Linked DNA regions of Danio rerio. The protein of the gene in region 3 binds, or shares a complex with, the protein of the main gene of each other region. Links are inferred from orthologs where the notes say so. Each region holds a gene or a part of one and is shown on either strand. Other genes may lie near its edges.

The links. Proteins that work in one complex are often made in the same cells at the same time.
Region 1: stx7l (region 3) and bet1l share a complex: the UniProt entries of both Homo sapiens proteins name them as parts of the SNARE complex. The link is inferred for Danio rerio from reciprocal best matches to the Homo sapiens genes STX7 and BET1L.
Region 2: stx7l (region 3) and vti1b share a complex: the UniProt entries of both Homo sapiens proteins name them as parts of the SNARE complex. The link is inferred for Danio rerio from reciprocal best matches to the Homo sapiens genes STX7 and VTI1B.

What each region holds. Positions count from the first base shown.
Region 1 is NC_133200.1:8,371,686-8,378,118, reverse strand, and holds the start of bet1l (BET1-like protein), read left to right. Parts: upstream 1-2,860; 5' UTR 2,861-2,910; intron 2,911-3,539; coding exon of another isoform or gene 3,540-3,809; 5' UTR 3,810-3,812; intron 3,813-3,976; exon of another isoform or gene 3,977-4,038; 5' UTR 4,039-4,109; intron 4,110-4,270; 5' UTR 4,271-4,308; coding exon of another isoform or gene 4,309-4,545; intron 4,546-4,629; coding exon of another isoform or gene 4,630-4,785; exon of another isoform or gene 4,786-4,817; intron 4,818-5,955; exon of another isoform or gene 5,956-6,075; intron 6,076-6,115; exon of another isoform or gene 6,116-6,353; coding exon of another isoform or gene 6,354-6,375; intron 6,376-6,433. Other genes in the region: kcnj11l (potassium inwardly rectifying channel subfamily J member 11, like), read right to left, coding at 235-662, 2,653-2,860, 3,540-3,809, 4,309-4,545, 4,630-4,785. UniProt on the Homo sapiens protein: Vesicle SNARE required for targeting and fusion of retrograde transport vesicles with the Golgi complex. Required for the integrity of the Golgi complex.
Region 2 is NC_133188.1:36,490,611-36,497,154, forward strand, and holds the start of vti1b (vesicle transport through interaction with t-SNAREs homolog 1B), read right to left. Parts: upstream 3,574-6,544; 5' UTR 3,440-3,573; coding exon 3,343-3,439; intron 279-3,342; coding exon 220-278; intron 1-219. Other genes in the region: rdh12 (retinol dehydrogenase 12), read left to right, coding at 4,392-4,471. UniProt on the Homo sapiens protein: V-SNARE that mediates vesicle transport pathways through interactions with t-SNAREs on the target membrane. These interactions are proposed to mediate aspects of the specificity of vesicle trafficking and to promote fusion of the lipid bilayers.
Region 3 is NC_133195.1:49,558,809-49,565,077, forward strand, and holds the start of stx7l (syntaxin-7), read left to right. Parts: upstream 1-1,885; 5' UTR 1,886-1,934; intron 1,935-4,742; 5' UTR 4,743-4,751; coding exon 4,752-4,830; intron 4,831-5,201; coding exon 5,202-5,271; intron 5,272-5,562; coding exon 5,563-5,653; intron 5,654-6,269. UniProt on the Homo sapiens protein: May be involved in protein trafficking from the plasma membrane to the early endosome (EE) as well as in homotypic fusion of endocytic organelles. Mediates the endocytic trafficking from early endosomes to late endosomes and lysosomes.

The sequences.
Region 1 (6,433 bases), on a different chromosome or scaffold from region 3:
TCACAATACATGTTGCATATATGACATATTTGTATATATGTAAAAATCCAAATATTAACTTTTATGTCATTTGCATTTATTTCCATGTATAATGTTTCTATATTAGAATAAAATCCTCCATCTTGGATGGCTTGAGACTGAGTAAGATAATAGCATATTATAATTCCTTGGTGAACTTTTAGGTCATTTCTACTTCAGTATCTAAAAATACAACAACACCAAAAAAATTGTGCTCTAATCGCTCATATCCTCAGTTGTCTCTTCTTCAATCTCTCTTCCTATCTCCTCAAGCTTCACGGTTTTCTTTTGACCCTTCTTCTCCTCCTCTTTCTCCGCTGGCACGTACCATGGCTTTGCTGCCGTGTCATCACATGCCCTTGCTCCACCCCTCCTGTACCCACCTCGTCCCGCCCTCACCAGCCCCCAGCCCTGAGGTTTACCCTCATGGGGTCCGCTGTCCTGCACGCCCCTGGTTTGGTCCAGCTCCTTAGCACTGAGCGCTGGCATCCGTACAGGAACAGTGTTTCCAAATTTGGAGTAGTCGACAGAGTAGCGTCCATCCTCCTCTGTCATAATAGAGACGAAACGCCGACCCCACAAGATCTCTTCTGGTATGTAGGATGTGCGGGCCTGCATTGTGATGCCAGTCGTCTCCACAACACCTAGTCAAACAGATTTAGAAAGTTTAAACTTGGTAAGCAAACTTATAAGACACCATGCTAACCTAAATGGACCTTTGGATGTGACTTGAATTTGATTTTACTTCAGTGTGGTTTCTTTTTCTTTCAGTTTTTAAATAGTTTCATTTTCTTTAAATTTAATGTCATTTTATATTAATGCTTTGTATTATTTGCTGCACAATATATCGTTTCAGAATCGATATCGGAATGTGTGCACCCATAGTCCCATTGCAAGATATGTAATGTTGAGTCTAGATTATAGTTGAACAGGAGCCACAGAATTGTATTTAATTACCGTATTTAGACCGAATATATACACTTTATGCATAAAAAAAAAAAATCTTAAAATTTTTGTCTTGTTTCTATTTAAAATGTCTTAATTTCAAAGTGAAAACAAGATTATTTTACTTGTTTTAAGAAAAAAAAATCCTGACAAACGTTTGAGTTAAAGTTAAGTTGAGTTAAGTTGAAAACAAAACAATATTTTTGCTTGATCTAAGAATTTTTAGATATTTGGACTAGAAACGAAATAGAAACAAAAGCATTAATAGCCTTTCCTTGCTATTTTATAATTCATTATATTTTATGCTAAATTATTAAATTCCTGTACCTGAATACGGTTAGGCTCCATAGAAAACCGTCTTGTGAAACTGTATTTATATCACAATATTTATCGCAGAAAAATAAAATATTGCGTTATTAGATTTTTCTAATATCGTGCAGTCCTACTTAAGGTAATTTTTTACATTCTTCAGCAAACACTGAGAAAATAGGTAAACATGTTTTAAAGCATTGTGTAATCATTATTATCAATAATAAAAATGTCTTGCAGGTAATTCCAAAATAAGTGGCATTAATACGGTGAAAATTTCATAGTAAAATATTCTAGAAAGCCTAAAATTATGACAGATAAGGCATTAGAAGTAGAGTATGTTAACAGGGACACCAATAGTCCGACATTAATAAGATTAAGACAATACTCTTAATAAGAGTCTACTATGTCAGAACTTAATTTTCAATTAGTAATATGCATTACAGGCCTGTAGCCAGCCTGGTGAAGGGTGTGGATCTTTTTTCTTAAAAAGTTGACCATTTTGCATTTATTCGCCTAATTTTTTTCTATGTAATTATGAGGTTAAAATAAGTTGCATTTTTGTAACATTTTAAGCACTATTTTTTTGCTGGATTAGCTTGTTTGATGGTCATCATAACCACATTTTTGATGTTAAGGTTTACATCAATTATCATTTACATCATATACATCAATTGCATCATTAGAAAAAATAGGAATTTGTTAAAGTTTTAAATTAAAAACTTTAGCCTATTGTTATTTAAATATCATTAACATAAAAAGCAAACCGTCCCGCACATTCAACTTTCCTCAGTCATGCTGACGCAACAACCAACACAGGATTCCACATGGTGTTAAAGCCTTTTTCCATGGATTATTTTCACAACTTATTATGACATAGTAGTTATGGGCCTTTGTCAATGAGGGGTGGGTCTTCTGAACCACCTGAAACCCTCCCCTGGCTACAGGCCTGCTTTGTTAATAACTTAATTTAGACAACTTTAAAGGCAGCTTTCCCAATATTTAGATATTTTTAAACCCTCGGATTCCAGATTTTGAAATAGTTGCATCTCAGCATCAATGACAAATGTATTTATTCAGCTTTCAGATCATGTATAAATCTCAATTTCCCAAAATTGACACTTATGATTGGTTTTGTACTCTAGGGTCACATATTAGAGAGCTTATCTATGATAATCCCTTAAAAATACTTTGGCTTTTAAACAAAACAATTACATTAAGCAGACTCTATTCAATCAAACATTCATTCTCCTTCGGCTTAGTCTCTTATTTATCAAGGGTCACCACAGGGAAATAAACCGCCAACTATTCCACCATATGATTTATGCAGCAGATGCTCTTCTAGCCACAACCCAGTACTGGAAAGTAGACTCTATTCACCTTCTAAAATGACAATGATCTCCAGATCTTCGGTAGCCATTGACTGCGCTGAGAGCTCGTACAGTGGACTCCCTCTGTCAATGGTGTGACTGATAATGAGTGGAGAGACGAGGAATATGCCGTTGCTCCTGAGAGGGTTTTCCACCTGGATATCTAACTGACAGACGGGAATCACTTCGCCCTCCGCTGTCACTGTCCGCCGAATAACCTGAGGAGCAAATATCAAGATCAGGATGGAATCAAACTCAAGAATATCTGGTACAGACATGATATATAAAGCATTTTTGGCTCACACTTCACATAATTTGTGTTTGTTATGATAATCAATGTGTATGAAAATCACTCTCCATGTCGAATTTCTAAATTCTTGCATTCAAGATGCCTGAATAGATTTCCATTCTGCCAAGTAATGGCAGAATTTTAATTTTAAGGTGAACTGTCCCTTTAAGGCAGAATTTATACTATCTTTAAAGCTACATATCTGCCATCATTTTGACATCAAATGCCTTGCTTTTATGTTGTCTGAACCTGGTGATAAAATAATGATTAAATAACCTTAGTTTGAAGGACATATTAAAGATCTATAGCAGTGTTTCTCAACCACGTTCCTGGAGGACCACCAACACTGCATGTTTTGGATGTCTCCTTTGTCCGTCAAACCAATTACAGGTCTTTCAGTCTCTGCTAATGAGCTGACGGTCTGAATCAGGTGTGTTTGGTTAAGGAGACATGGAAAATGTGCAAAGCGTGTGGTCCTCAAAGAAACGTGGTTGAGAAACACTGATCTAAAGGACTAAAATGAAGAACTCTCTAATAGAAGGTTCTGTGGATGTTAAGGTTCTTCAATGATTTAAATACATCAGTAAAGAAATAAACACATCTGTCACCTGCAGCTGTATGTTGGCAGAGATGATCATGCTTTTTCTCAGATCTCCAACACGAAACATCAATGTCGGTCTGCCATTCCTTGGGGCAATGACTGCGTTGCGGGAGAAGATGAGGGTTTCTGCTCTGCGGTTGGCTTGAGCTGTCTTCATGAACACACAGCCAAGCATGATGGCGTTGATGATCAGGCCCAGAATGTTCTGGATGATGAGGACTATGATGGCCAGCGGACACTCCTCTGTCACCATTCGTCCTCCGAAACCAATAGTTACCTGGTATTACAAATGCTTCATTATCTTACAGACGATTTAAAGGGGTCATGAACTGTGAAACCTAAAAATCACCTAATTTTTTTTTTTTTACATATAAGAGCTCATAGTTCTCTAAAAATATCCTGTAAGTTTTAGAACTGAACACTTTGTGGTTCCTCTAAATACAGATTATATTGAAGGCAGTCTGAAGATAACAGATTCTTGAATGTTCTACTCTATGATGTAATAGAGTGGATAAGCCCCGCCTCCACAGAAGATTGACGTCAACTTCTACTTCACATCCTGTTCAGCGCTGTTAAGGTATAGTTTACCAAAAATATTACATTGTTTATTCTCCCTCAGTTTTGACAACTAGTATTACGTTTCAGTCAGTCCAATCACAAGTGGATGACATTAAATAAAAATGTATGCGGAGTCTAAAATATTTAGATTACTGAAAATGCATGTCATAATAATTCTAGATGGAAACAGAGTCATATCTATCCAGATTGATCCTTACCTGCACTTCAATGGAGAACAGAAAAGCAGAAGTGAAGGAGTGAATGGATGTGACGCACGGCACAGGTCCGGGTTCATTGGGATCTCGAGGTTCTAGATCTCCATGAGCGAATGCCAGGAGCCACCACACCATGGCAAAGAGCATCCAGGAGCAGAGGAACGCTGAGGTGAAGATGAGCAAAGAATGCTGCCATTTCAGGTCCACCATGGTGGTGAACACATCTTGGAGAAACCGACCCTGAGAAGCAATAATCTCTTATGAACACTGCAACTGAGTCAATTGAAACTTTTCTTTAGCCTAGAACTGATAGGAAAATCTCACCTGTTCTCGAATATTCTTGTGGGCTACATTACATGAGCCGCTCTTGGTGATAAAACGTGCCCTTTGTGACTTTGGCCGGATGCGGCTGGGTTGTGCATCTTCAGCGAGTCGCGTTAACAAGAACCCATCAGGCAAAAGACCTTTGCGGGCCAACATTATGACAATTTGTGGCCAATTGGTGCTCCGCACTGTAGAAGGAATTTAAAAAAAAGAACTAAAATATACAGTAACACTAAGGGTTTCTTGAAAAATAAAGAAAAAATTATGAAGTACATTTCAGTTAATTTAGTTTATCTTTAATTCTTTAGCCCTTTTTACAATGTAAACAATATACAAAGCAGTTTGACATTACATTTTATCATTAATTCATCATTAAATTTAGTGTTTTGTTTTACTTATACTGCTAAAAAAATAATAATAATAAATTAGGTTTACAGTATATATGCATTGAATTGCATAATTTTAAAATCTTTTACCTAAAGGTAACGTTTTGCCTAATAATAATGCAAAAGGTTACATTTATAAATTACATAATGAATAAGGTTATAATAACATTATAATAAAGGTTACATTAATAAATTATATTATTAGGTTATAATAAATAAAAATCGAAGAATTTTTGATGTAACTCGTAATATAATAGTTAAAGCTTAATTTTAATTATTTTTTTTGTTTATTTTATGCATAAACAGATAACTCATAAATTGTCTTTTGTTAGTTGCACAGATATCAAAGCATATTCATAATTTTAAACAATTACATTTATATTTCTTTTAGTTTTTATATTTAACTAATTTAAAATATAATTATTTAATTAAATAAATGGTAATCGTTTATTAAGGGAAAAACTGGCATGAAACTGTCTAATCACGAGCGACAATGCTATTTTGAATAGTTTAGTTTCACTCAAACATAAAATATATACATGTATTATTTCAAATATATACATATATTATAACGTTTTATCATAATTTGGTTGTACATCATCAAAGAAGCGCGTAAGCTCATCGATTATTTTACATATTTCAAAGCAATTTTTTTCGGTATGAGAATTCAGATGACAGTAGCTGATAGACCGCTCTTAATGTCATCCAATCTCCTAATTCCTGTTAAAACATCAGCATTAAAACGATTAATATTTTTCAATCCCCTTCAATTATTATTTTGCATTATATTAGAACATTTTCTTCATTTAATTGAATGCATTGTAGCGCATTAAGACATCCAAAAATCTTAATTTCAATATGCATCCTTTATTATTGTGTTTTACGATCGCCATCATGATGACAGGATTATCAAGGTTTTTTATAAGATAAAGATGCTTACCAGCACAACAGTGTCAGGCGCTGTTTATTTCATATCGATGTCGTTTAGTAAAATAATACTAACCGAACAAAACATTTAAAACCCAAACGCAAGCAGATGGCAGTCTAGGAAGCTTATGCAATCAGACAGAGTCCTTATGATAGAAAAATGAATGACCGGCGGATAAACATATCCCACAATCCCCTCGCGACAGCTGCGCTTCACTGTACACTGCTGCTGTTTGGCGGTTCTCTTCGGGATAAATGCGCTCTGTTTACTTTTGCCAACAGTTTTATTAACATTATATGTGTGCGAATTACATTTATACGTCTTTTACGGATAATAAGAATAGTTTTCGTCGGTGTTTGGCGTCTTTTGGAGTATTTTTAGAAGGTTGTTAGCCGATTAGCTCTTTAAAAATGGCTGATCCATGGAATCGAGGTAAGTGACACGTAGCAGTTCTCTTTTAATATGCAGTTCTTACACTTTTTAAGCAGTA
Region 2 (6,544 bases), on a different chromosome or scaffold from region 3:
CAACCTTAATCTTAAAACATTATTATTTTTTGCATTGTCAAAAAAAACTACCATTTACACACATACACATTACATTATTGCATTATTTAAATAAATTAATTAGGCCTGTAGTGCTCAAAAGCAGAAAACAGGAAAAGAGGAAATCCATAAACCAAGTAAAAGATACAATTTTAAGAAGCAGAAATCAAGACTGATAATAAAGTGAACATCATTACTTACCACTTCTTCAGCCTCTGAAACACGCTCATCAAAGTCTCTGACAATTCTCTTCCTTTCCTCTACAAATAAAAACAAAGTGCTGGTTAATTTCAGTCATCTTATTTAATGCTATTGATGTGACAATATTTACAAGACAATAACAGCATAATAACACAATGAACACTACAAGGAGACAACTGACATTGACTCTTACAGTTTATATCTATAGACGGAAAATAATAATAATAAAAAACACAGGAAACCGTTTCATTTAAAGCGTTTAAATGCCTCAAAAGAAATTATTCAACATTATGTCATTGCACACATACACACACACACATTGATTATTTAATTTGGAATGACTTATACTAGTTAAAGCAATGCAGCATGCATATAATCACAAAGAGCCTATTATGTTTCACAGTACAAGTGATGTGCAAATAAATACAATCACTGAATATATATATATATATTTTAAAGAACAATATTAAAATGCTTGGACCACCTCAAGTTTGTAAAGAAATATGTGCAAATACGTTGCTTAATGTACCTAAACATCAACCAGAGAACCCCAAATTTCTGTCAAATTGTACTTGTAATAAACCCTAATGACTGTAAAAGAACGAGCCCCAATTCCCTAGATCAGTGGTTCTTAGACTTTTTTCACCAAGTACCACCTCAATTAAAAATTCTTCCCAAGTACCACCATAATGACCAGTATTGAAATACAGTAGTGTAGTAGGCCTAATTAAGCAGCTACAGCACTGCACAATTCAAAAGCGTGGCAGATTAATTCTGATTATTATTATGAATATTTGTTATTTTCAGCCATATTAAACATCATAAGTAGTTTGAACATTAACACTGTGCTGTTGAACTGTGCGTTCAAAAGCTAATCAAAAACGGCACTGTTTTTAAAAAGTAAAGAGAAAACTGCTGTACCTAAATGTAAAGTATTATCATAAAGTATCCTAAATTTTGAAATATATGATGCATGTATATATGACTTTGTAAATCTTTGAAATCTAAATGTTAACTTGTATTTTAGATATATGAATTGGATTTGCATATTTAAATAAAAAATGAGTTTGCCCACTGCACGTTAGAGTAGGTTATGTGTGTCAGTAAAGCAAGTGATTAAACTATACCTGTGAACATTGGGATATAAAAATATGGGATAAGCCCCTACAACTGTTACAAATATGGAGAGGAAATTAGCTTTAAATGATAGAATACATAACAAACATTAGAAAATTGAAAATAAAATGAAAGGTTTATCCTATTAAAATCAATTTACTGATCACATCGGCGTTATCGTACGCGTCAAAGGGTTAAAAGTGTGCTCATTTTTACTTTAATTATTCAGCGATTCCTCCGTGTACCACTAGAAGGAAGCCTGCATACACGTACCACAGTTTGAGAACTACTGCCCTAGATAAAGTGTAAAACATCACATTACGCGTTTTTCTGTAGTCTATTGTAAGGAAAAAGCTTAATGTAGCTTAATGTACCTTAACAACAAGGTACATCTAATTAAAATCTAATTTCTAAAATAAAATCTAATTTCTATCAAATTTTACTTGTGATTAACACTTTCTGATGTCAAAAAAATGAGCTCTAATTTTAGTAAGTGAAAAGGATCACGTTATGCGTTTTTCAAATCCATTATAAAAGGAAAGAGCTTAACATGGCTTAACGTACCTCAACAAGAGCACACCAAAAATCTATGAAATTTCACTTGTAATTATCTTTAACTACTAGCAAAAGATCAAGTCCTGATTCTGTGGATGAAGTTAATTGATCAATGTGACATTAAAACGTTTTATCCCCATTGAAATCCATTATAAGACCTTAATGAGGTTTAACTTAATAACATTGAGACAATCAAATGTATATAAAAATATACTCATAAACACTTTCTTCTGTTAAAAGAACAAACTTTTATTTTAGTATACTGTATCAAGTGAACAATATCACTAAACGTTCTCTCTGTAAAAGTCCATTATAAGGAAACAGCTTAACCTGGCTTAACGTACCTTAACACTGACCAGGAAAACCCAAATTTGTCAAACTTTACTAGTGATTAACACTAACTATTGTCTAAAGAACAGGCCCTAATTCCATAGATAAAGTGAACAATATCACGTTAAGTGTTTTCCTCCCATCGAAGTCCATAATAAGAAAAGGTTGAACGTGACTTTACAACAACAACCAAGAGAAACTAAATGTTACCCACTTGTTGTTAAGGTACATTAGCCATGTTAAGCTTTTTCCTTATAATAGACTTCAGAAAAATGGTTATTGTGATGTCTTACATTTTATCTAGGGAATTGGGACTCATTGATTTTACAGTCATTAGGGTTAATTACAAGTAAAGCTCGACAGAAATGTGGGTTTCTCTGGTTGATGTTCAAGTACATTAAGCCACGTTAAACGTTTTAGAATGTCCCTCTGCAAATATTGAGGTAAAGTTTGTTTTATATTCACACATTTGAGACTTTAGTCTTCCAAATATAACTTCAGAAAAGTATTTTTGAAAATTCTTAATAGGGAAATTATATTATAGCCAATGACTATCAATGTACAGCGTCGTTCACAGTCAATAAATGTGCTAATGTCGTTTTGAATCATAATCCCATGCCTCACAGCCATTATTGAAAGTAGACAGTCACAATTTGCCACTGGTCAAAAACTAACGAATGTGCAAATATAAAACCAACTTTACCTCACTTCTGCAAATTAGGGATAGAGATGACATCGTCTTTTCCAAATATGCAGACTGCATTTTTACTGCAGACACAAAGCAGTGTATATGGCAATTTGTTTAGACTCAGTCTTTCTTACTGAGCCAGCAATTTGTAATCCTCGCACCCAGTTTATGAACGTGTCCTAGACTCCCGTGGATTAAAAAAACTATAGCCACACACTTTCAAAGCGTTTGTTAATGGTTGATATTTTAGCATTTTTTTCTGAACAGCAGCCTAATTCCATAATCTCGATACTTCATCCACAGCTACAATATCAGGAGTGTTTGGAAAATCTCTAATGACAGTACTCAAAATAAGTTAATGACTATTCACTGATGAAAGCAGTTCATTCGCACAGTCTTGTTAACGTATAATACAGTATAAAGAGTTTATTCACCTCCCTGGCTCTTCTGCACCCGTTCTGGCATCAACTTCACTTCGTCATACAGAGATTTATACATCTCATGCAGCTTTTCAAACTCCTCTGAAGACATAGTGGAACAAACGAAGTCTAAAGCAAATAAACAAAATAAATGACAACAGAATAAAAGAGCGAAAATTTGAAGTCTGTTGTGGTACGAAACAATAGGGAAAAATCAGCTTCTCGGGCAATAACAAAATCCTCGGGACTGCAGCTCACGCTTCCGTGTTGGACCTCGTGATGATAGGCGGTCTTGATTTTGCCTGCAAACAAGAATGCAGATTAAAATCTTAAAGGCTGTTTTAAAATTTTAAACATCTAAAACAGCTCTATATTAATATGTGTATGCTTAATTAAAATTTTAATGCACTTCATTTTTGAAAAATGATACAAAAGTAGACTTCAATTAAACGTAGCAAATATGTAGACAGCTCGCATCATAAATACAGTGTGGGAGTTGTAGTTCATATTTTTAGGAAAACCCAAATTAATCTGTTTCGTAAATATAATCGTCGAACAATTAAAGTTTAGCTGACATAATAAATATTACCTACATATTTGCTATTCATTTACATAAATGACTTAATAGTACTATAATTCACTCTATAATATTTGATACGCTGTACGATAAAAACTATTCAGTTTCAATTTCACTTTAAATTATATTCATTTTGTTGTTTTCTATTTGTTGTTGCATACTGCAAACTTTCTCACACAAACACGCGAAGGAAAAAATACATTATTACTACATATCAATAATTAAAATAAGGCCCAACACATGTCAATAAAACAGCATGTAGTTTATTGCAAATATAATATTTAATAATAAAATATTTACAATCATTTTCAGCAACAAATTAATGACCATTCAGGAAACATTTTTGTGCAGGTGCAGACAATGAAAACTACAATCCCATCATTCCCCGGGAGCACAGCTGTAGATGTGAGTGGGAGGCTGCTGAACACATTCGGACGGACAGAGACAGACTGGAGTACAGTACAGTTACAGCAGCAGCAGCAGTGTCATGATGCTCGCGCTCGTGGCGTTCGCGGCGGGTTTAGGGCTCGTCGCGCTGATTTTAAGGCTGCTTTCTCCTCAGATCAGGTAAGTCATGTCGTTTATAGCATGAGAGATATGAAAATGACATTATGATATGATGAACGACTATACTAGCAATACATTCAATCTGTGGTGAAACGAGCACAGTGTCCAGTTGGGATGAAAACATGATGTAAAAGACTAAAGCAGAAACCACAGCCACCACTGAAGCGTACAGCCCCGTGCAGGGTCCTGTAATGGTATTAAACGATCACATCTGAACTCGAATTTCTACGTAATCTACATTACGTTACATTACGCATCAACAATGCTTTTATTATTTGGATGTAGAACGCGCTGGATATTGATTAAGGTTGTCCCGTTGCGGACCCGCCTCCACTTGACATGATCTGCTCCAGAAATCGACCAATAGAATGACAGTATAGGCGGAGCCACCCCGCCCCTCTGCTAACCGCGCTGCTTCATTGGCTCTGATGGATTGGCGATCGCTTTCTGCGTGGGACGAGTGTCTTGACAGGCATGCTGGATGGATGAACAAGAAATATACTAGAAAATAAAGCACACCCGATGTGATGAGGCGGAGTTACACCTCGAGTTTAACTGTCCTTCGTCAGTTACATAAAATAATTCAATGTAGACTATATGCAGATGGTTGTTATTAAATTGTAATGTTTATGTTGAGTTTTTATCATTCATTTATTAATTTTTTTTTCGGCTTAGTCCCTTTATTAATCTGGGGTCACCACAGCGGAATGAACCACCAATTTATCCAGCATGTTGTACGCAGTGGATGTCCTTCCAGCTGCAACCTATCACTGAGAAACACCCATACACACTCATTCACACACATACACTACGGAAAGTTCAGCTTACCCAATTCACATATACCACATGTCTTTGGACCTGTAGGGAAAACCGGAGCACCTGCAGGAAACCCACACCAATACGGGGAGAACATCCAAACTCTTCACAGAAATGCCTACTGGCACAGCCGAGGCTCGAACCAGTGACCTTCTTGCTGTGATGCAGCAGTGCTACCCACTGCGCCACCCCATATCTATTTGTTTAATGATGAATATTCAGTTGTTATTAATCAATGATCAATATGCACGTTTAATGCATCATCATGGGTATCTGAAAGTGTTTTTTAAAGATGTCAGTTAAGAGATGCTAAACACCAGTAGTTCAGCTAAGGTGACTAAGGTTAATGAGAGGGTTAAGATAAGTGAACACCTGCATCTGCCAAAAAGGATCATTGAATATGAGCTATATTCCACCAATATAATAAGCGGTTGGGATGACCCATTAGATCAGGGGTGGGCAAACTCGGTCCTGGAGGGCCGGTGTCCTGCACAGTTTAGCTCCTATTCTAATCAAACACACCTGCTTATAGATTCTAGTGATCCTTAAGACAGTGATTAGTTTGTTTAGGTGTGTTTGACTAGTGTTGGAACAAAACTCTGCAGGGACACCGGCCCTCGAGGATCAAGTTTGCCCATCCCTGCATTAGATAATGGATGCAGGTGTTTAGGAAAGGTCCAAAAAAAGGCCAATTAGAGCAGGAGTGCTAAATCCTGTTCCTGGAGATCTACCTTCCTGTACAGTTTAGCTCCTACCCTGATCAAACCCACCTGAACCAATTAATTAGGACCTGAAATCCACTTGATAATTACAGACAGGTGTGTTTGATAAGGGTTGCAACTGAAATCTGCAGGAAGGTAGATCTCCAGGAACAGGATTGGCCACCCCTGAATTCGAGTATTTAGGAGCCATCCAAGAAAAAGGTCAACTTAGGCTGTTGGGGAATCATTGGTTTGGTCAAATGAAAACTCTTGAGGAAAAGGGTATTAAACATGATCTGCTAGCAGACCAGGGCCCCGTTTCAGAAAGCAGGTTAAGTGAAAACTCAGAGCATGTTAACTCTGAAATGAGAGAAACTCTGGGTCAAACTCGAGAAAGCAGGAGTCAGGAGCAGGTTTTATTCTCTAAACTCTGAGTTTCTGCCGGTCTTCTCCCCTGTTTTAAAGATAAAGCAGTATTTCTCACCTTAGCCATTCATGGACTACATTTCAGTCACACAAATAACAAAGTTATAAGAATGGCTAGTCCTTTTTTTAA
Region 3 (6,269 bases):
ACAAATTTTACTTTTAAAAGAACTAATTTTGTGCAAGGTATATTTTAACTGTAGTTAAATTATAGTAATTCTCAACATATATGAATTGAGTGTTTTTTGTATACTTTAAGTAAACTTGCACATAGCCTACAACACTAAAACTAAAATTTAACAAAGAGTACGCTAAGAGCGATTGCATTATTTTTTGTGTGTGTGTGTGTGTGTGTGTGTGTGTGTGTGTGTAGTTGTAGTTAATTCGAAGCCCAAATTCTGAGCTTGGGGCAAACTAACCATTTACTACAAGCATTATGACTAGTTGTACACTTAAAGTGTACTGTCACACTTATACTACACTAAAAGCTAGCCAATTTAGTTCTATGATATATTCAAGTATTACAAGTAGCTCATAACAAGCGTTCCCAAACTATTCAGCTAGTGAGCCCCAAAATAACAATTCCAGTGACTCGCAATCCAAACAGTACAACATACAAACAGTGCACACAAAAAATAAATAATTAAATATATATATATATATATATATATATATATATATATATATATATATATATATATATATATGTGTGTGTGTGTGTGTGTGTGTGTGTGTGTGTGTGTGTAAGTGTGTGTGTGTGAGTGTGTGTGTGTGTATGTATATATATGTATGTATGTATGTATGTGTGTGTGTGTGTGTGTGTGTGTGTGTGTGTGTGTGTGTGTGTGTGTGTGTGTGTGTGTGTGTGTGTGTGTGTGTGTGTGTGTGTGTGTGTGTGTGTGTATCAGGCCCGGATTGGCTAATCGGGAGGACCGGGAGAATTCCCGGTGGGCCGGTGCGTTTTTTGGCCGCGAGGGCCGGTGTCCCTAGCTCTAGAATCTGTTGCTCTCAGCAGTCACACTTTTTAAATTAATTTATTTACTTACTTGACTACAGTCTTCTTATTCATCATTTTACCGCAGCTCTGCTCTTTTTATATATGACCAGCCTGCAGGTTAATGACGATATTAGTCAGATGAGTCAGTCCTTCATATACAACTGTTGTGGTCCAGTGGTTAGCACGTTAGATTATGACGCTAACTTTCAGTAACTCGCAGCGACATATATAATATATATATATTTATATATATATAAATAATTTTTTTTGTCAATATTTAATTTACTATTAATCTCACTTAATGACAACGGTGAGCACACTGTTTGCAGCACAAGACTATTCTTGGTTTAATTTTGGGGATCGTCCTCTATGTGTAGTCGTGGCCTTTATTTTTTATGTACACGCGTGCCGTAAAGGTGTCAGAGTTTAACATTGTGCCATTAATCTAGTGTAATAACCCCAGGGGTTGGAATCCAATGGGAAAAGAATTGAAAGGCTGATGGCTTTTTATTTGCATGCTGTTATTTTATTTAACTATTAAATACCATGTTTATCTTCTGTAAGTTATGGATAAAATATGGCTATTCTAATAGTTTAATAACATATATTAAAGAGAAATCACCAAGCAACCCACCCTCATTGTCTCACAAACCCCAATTTGGGAACCACATAGCTATACTACTAGTAGCCTACATAAATGTTTATGTGAAGTATGCTTAAGATATATCAATATTAACTAACTATACTTAATAAAAAGGAACGTGAAGTATACTTCTTTTTAGTAAGGTTAGGCTACTTATTACCCATGTGGAAACCAAGTTAAAGTCTACTTTATTTTTGTTATGTAGGCTAGTTTTTTTTTTTTTTTACTTTTTTAATTGGGGTAAGTTAATAATAATAGACATCTGCCTAGTATTTGTCGATCTAAACATATAGTACATAAACTCAATAGTTTAGTATATGCGTCAAGTACATTACTAATCTACTACATGTTTCTGAACGCACACGGAAGATAGAACAGAAGTCACGTGACCCGCGCGTCAAAGAAATCAGCTGAGGGCTCGGAGTTTCACTCAGGAAATCCAGGTAAACCGAACAACCAAAGTACATATTAAAGTAAACGATGCGTATTTATAAACTGTACATGTGTGCAGACTTTACGTAAATAGTTGTTGAGGGTAGTTTAAAAGAGAAGTCAGTAAAGTAGCAAGCGCAAAGTTCATTCACTGAAGCATATTTGTTGACAGCGCGATTTGTGTTCACTTGACATGAAACTACACTGTAAGATTCCCGAATGTTAATGTTTGTTGTGTGTCAGCAAAGTTAAAACAATAGCTGTCTAGTTTTATAAATGAAAATGCGTGTTTGTGAGTTTGTGAGCCGTGATTTCCGCATTCTTTCGTTTTGCAGGTGCAGCGCAGATCGGTTTTACTAGTCATCTGTTTAGTACTAGCCTGCTAACCAATAAACAACATTACGCCAGCTATTTTCGAGTAATTATTGAGCTAATAAGGCATATTTCAAAGCAAGGTGAGCAACTATATGGGGCAAGTTTTCTCGTTAATTCAAAATGACAACAGTAATATCATTAAGGGAGATTCTAAAACGCATGAAATAAGCTTAATAATTGAGGTTAAGTTGATTTTATACTATAGACTTTATCCTTAATAATATAATTTTGGCTAAGAACTGCACATTCTGATTAGGGACATCATATTAGCATCTAATGACTTTCAAAGTACACGCTGCTCTCAGTCAATTAAATAATGCTAATGTTTAGGTCATACTTACATGTGATTTCAGACTTCATATATAAAGTAGCATGGTAAACAATATAGGGAGTGTATCACAAGTTGTCACTGAAAGAATGTGCGAATATAAAACCAACTTTGCCTCAATAGCTTAATATACCTAAACATCAACCAGAGAAGCCCACATTTCGATCAAACTTTACTTGTAATTAACCCGAACTACTGTTAAGACAGAGTCCCAATTCCATAAGTGAAAAATATCACGCTAAGCGTTTTCTCCACTATTGAAGTCTATTATAAGTAAAAGCTTAATGTGGCTTAATGTACCTCAACAACAAGTGGGGGGAACCAAATTTCTATCAAATTTTACTTGTGGTTAGCACTAACTATATAGCAAAAAAATTAAAAATTTGCCCCATTTCCACAGCTTAAGTGAACAGCGTTTTTCCCTATGTTGTTGTGGGGATGTCAATGACATGCACAAGTGCATTCTTTTGACAGCAAAGGGTTAATCTATAATAAATTAAGTTAGATTTTTTGAACAGCTTTTTTATAATTTGGTTTCCCTCTGTTTTTAAGTCAAGCTTTCCTTATTAAGGACTTCAACGGGGAAGAAAACACTTAACGTGATATTGTTAACTTTATCTGTGGAATTAAGGCCCATTCTTTTAAAAATAGTTTGTCTTAATCACAAGTAAAGAAATTTGGGTTTCCCTGGTCTGGGTTAAGATATGTTAAGCCACGTTAAGCTGATTCCTTATAATGCGCTTCTGTGAGGAGAATGCTGAAAGTGATATTGCTCACTTGATACACTAAAATAAAAGCTTGTTCTTTTACAGCAGTAAGTGTTTTTCATGAATATATATCTATAGAAATTTGATTGTCTCTAGATGTTAAGTTAAACCACATTAAGCTGTTATAATGGACTGAAATGGGGATAAAATGCTTAACAACATTGTCCGCTTTATCTACAGACTAAGGGCTTGATCTTTTGATAGTAGTTAGTGTTAATCACAAGTATTCGATAGATTTTTGGTGTACCCCACTTGTTGAGGTATACATTAAGCCATGTTAAGCGTTTTCCTTTTATAATGGACTCAGTGGGGAGAATTGCATACCGTGATAATTTTTACCCACTAAAATAAGAGCTCATTCTTTTGACATCAGAAAGTGTTTGTAACTTTTATAGAAATTTGGTTTCTCCCACTTGCTGTTAAGGTACATTAAGCCACGTTAAGCTTTATCCTTATAATAGACTCCAATGGGGGAGTAAACGCCTAACATGATGTTTTTCAATTTATCTGCTTAATTGGGACTCATTCTTTTTACAGTAATTAGGGTTAATTACAAGTACAGTTTGACAGAAATTTGGGGTTTTCTGGTTGATGTTTAGTTACATTAAGCCCCGCTTTCTTCATGTTAAGCATTTTTGAATGTCCCCATTAATATAATTAAGAAACGCATACAAAATAGTGAGCAATTGTTTTGGTCTCCAAATAGTACAGTACGTTTTAAGGGTAACTTAAAGTTGGTTTATATTCACACATTCAGACTTTCTCCTTAATATAATTTCAGAAAACTATTCTTTACTAATACTAAATAGTCAAATCATATTCCCAGCAAATGACAATTAAAGTACAGCATTGTTCATGGTCAATTAAATAGTGCTAATGTTGTTTTGGAGGCATATGATTCAGACCGAATATTTAAAGTAGTAAACAATATAGGAAACATGTCACAAGTTGTCCCTAAATGAATGTGGGAATATTAAACATTAATAAGTATGTATAGTTTGTGTAAAACATGTTTACAACTCGTGAAAGTCTGTCACTACTTGACATTTATTAAAAACGTCGCAAATCCAGCATTTCAGTTCATACATGTTAATATACAAACTATTCTGTAGCATGTAGGATCAAATATAATGATAGTTGAATGTTATTGAAGGAAGAAATTGATAAGCCATATGTAAAAACACGTTCAAATAGTATGTTTTAGGAGCAATGTATATAAGAAAACATGTTTATGAATAAATTGTATAAGCTTGTTATTATGTAGCGCAGTATAAGAGATAATTGTGCGATTGTAGGCCTGCAAATAAATGTGATTTCTACAAATGTGTTTTCTGTCTCTTTCATTAAAGGCTTCCATCATGTATGGATCAAGAGAAGTCGATGCCAATGGGCTGGCACAGACTATTAGTTCAAACATCCAGAGGATAACGCTTCTAAGTGAGTACATTCACTCTTATTTATGTGCTATAAAAATTGTATAGCTTACAAAAATGTACCATCAGTTTTTTTTACCAAACAATAACTGTTAGTAAACTCGTACTTTTTTAATGATTATGTCTAGACTTGACTTGTATTTTTAGCCACGCCTGGATGGTGGTGATGTTTCTGTTTTCACATCTTCAATTTCTTTGTTCAGTTGTTCTCCATTTATCTGCTATGCAATTTAATGTGCTACATTCACAAAACCACAACAGATAAAAAGTCAAGTACAAGCGGAACACATTTGTTTACGACAAAACAGTCCTTTCTGTAACCTGATAACATGGGAGGTGTTTAAAGCTGATTTAGATCTTGCTTCTGTTTCCCAGCTAATGAAATCCAGCAGTTGATGAGACATCTTGGAACGGCACAAGACACAAGTGACCTGCGACAGACATTGTGAGCCAAATACAAACATCTAGTTTGGATCTCAGTCCTTTAGCACATAAAATAAATAGAGATGAATCTATTTAGCCTATTTTTTATCAGCTAATCATTAATGAATTTAAAACGGTCTGTGTTTTGGCTATAGCGTTAAACCGACTATAAAATATATCTGTTTTAAGGACAAATGATTAGGAATATAGGCTAACAGTTTATTAAAATCAATATCAGTCAAATGGCCTTTCTGTGGATCCCTAAAATGTATATAATTCAAATATATTCTTTTGTCTTTGTCAAAATAAATAGGCAGGAGAAGCAGCAGAGTGTCAATCAACTTGCTAAAGTGACAGATAAATGCATGAAAGATTTCAGCTCTTTACCTGCGACCACAGAACAGGTACTATCAAACTCATACTTCATCACATACACATATTTATAAATGCTTTACAATTGAGTAATAGAATGTAGCTTAATATATTGAAATATACACTAACCGGCCACTTTATAAGGTACACCTGCCCAACTGCTCACAGATTTCTGATCAGCCAAACACATGGCAGCAACTCAATCCATTTAGGCATGGTCAAGACGATCTGCTGCAGTTCAAACTGAGCATCAGAATGGGAAAGAAAGGTGATTTAAGTGACTTGAACGTGGCATGGTTGTTGGTGCCAGACGGGCTGGTGGGAGTATTTCAGAAACTGCTGATCTACTGAGATCCCTACCATCTTTAGGGTTTACAGAGAGTAGTCTGAAAAGAGAAAATTTCCAGTGAGCGGCAGTTCGCAATTCGCACAGGCTCACCAAAATTTGACAATAGAAGAATGGAATAATGTTGCCTGGTCTGATGAGTCTCAATTTCTGCTGTGATATTCAGATGGGAGGGTCAGAATTTAGCATCAACAACATGAAAGCATGGATCCATAATGCCTTATATCAATGGTTCAGCCTGGTGGTGGTGGTGTAATGGTGTGGTGTCATCCCTTTATAACTAGTGTACCCATCTTCCAGCA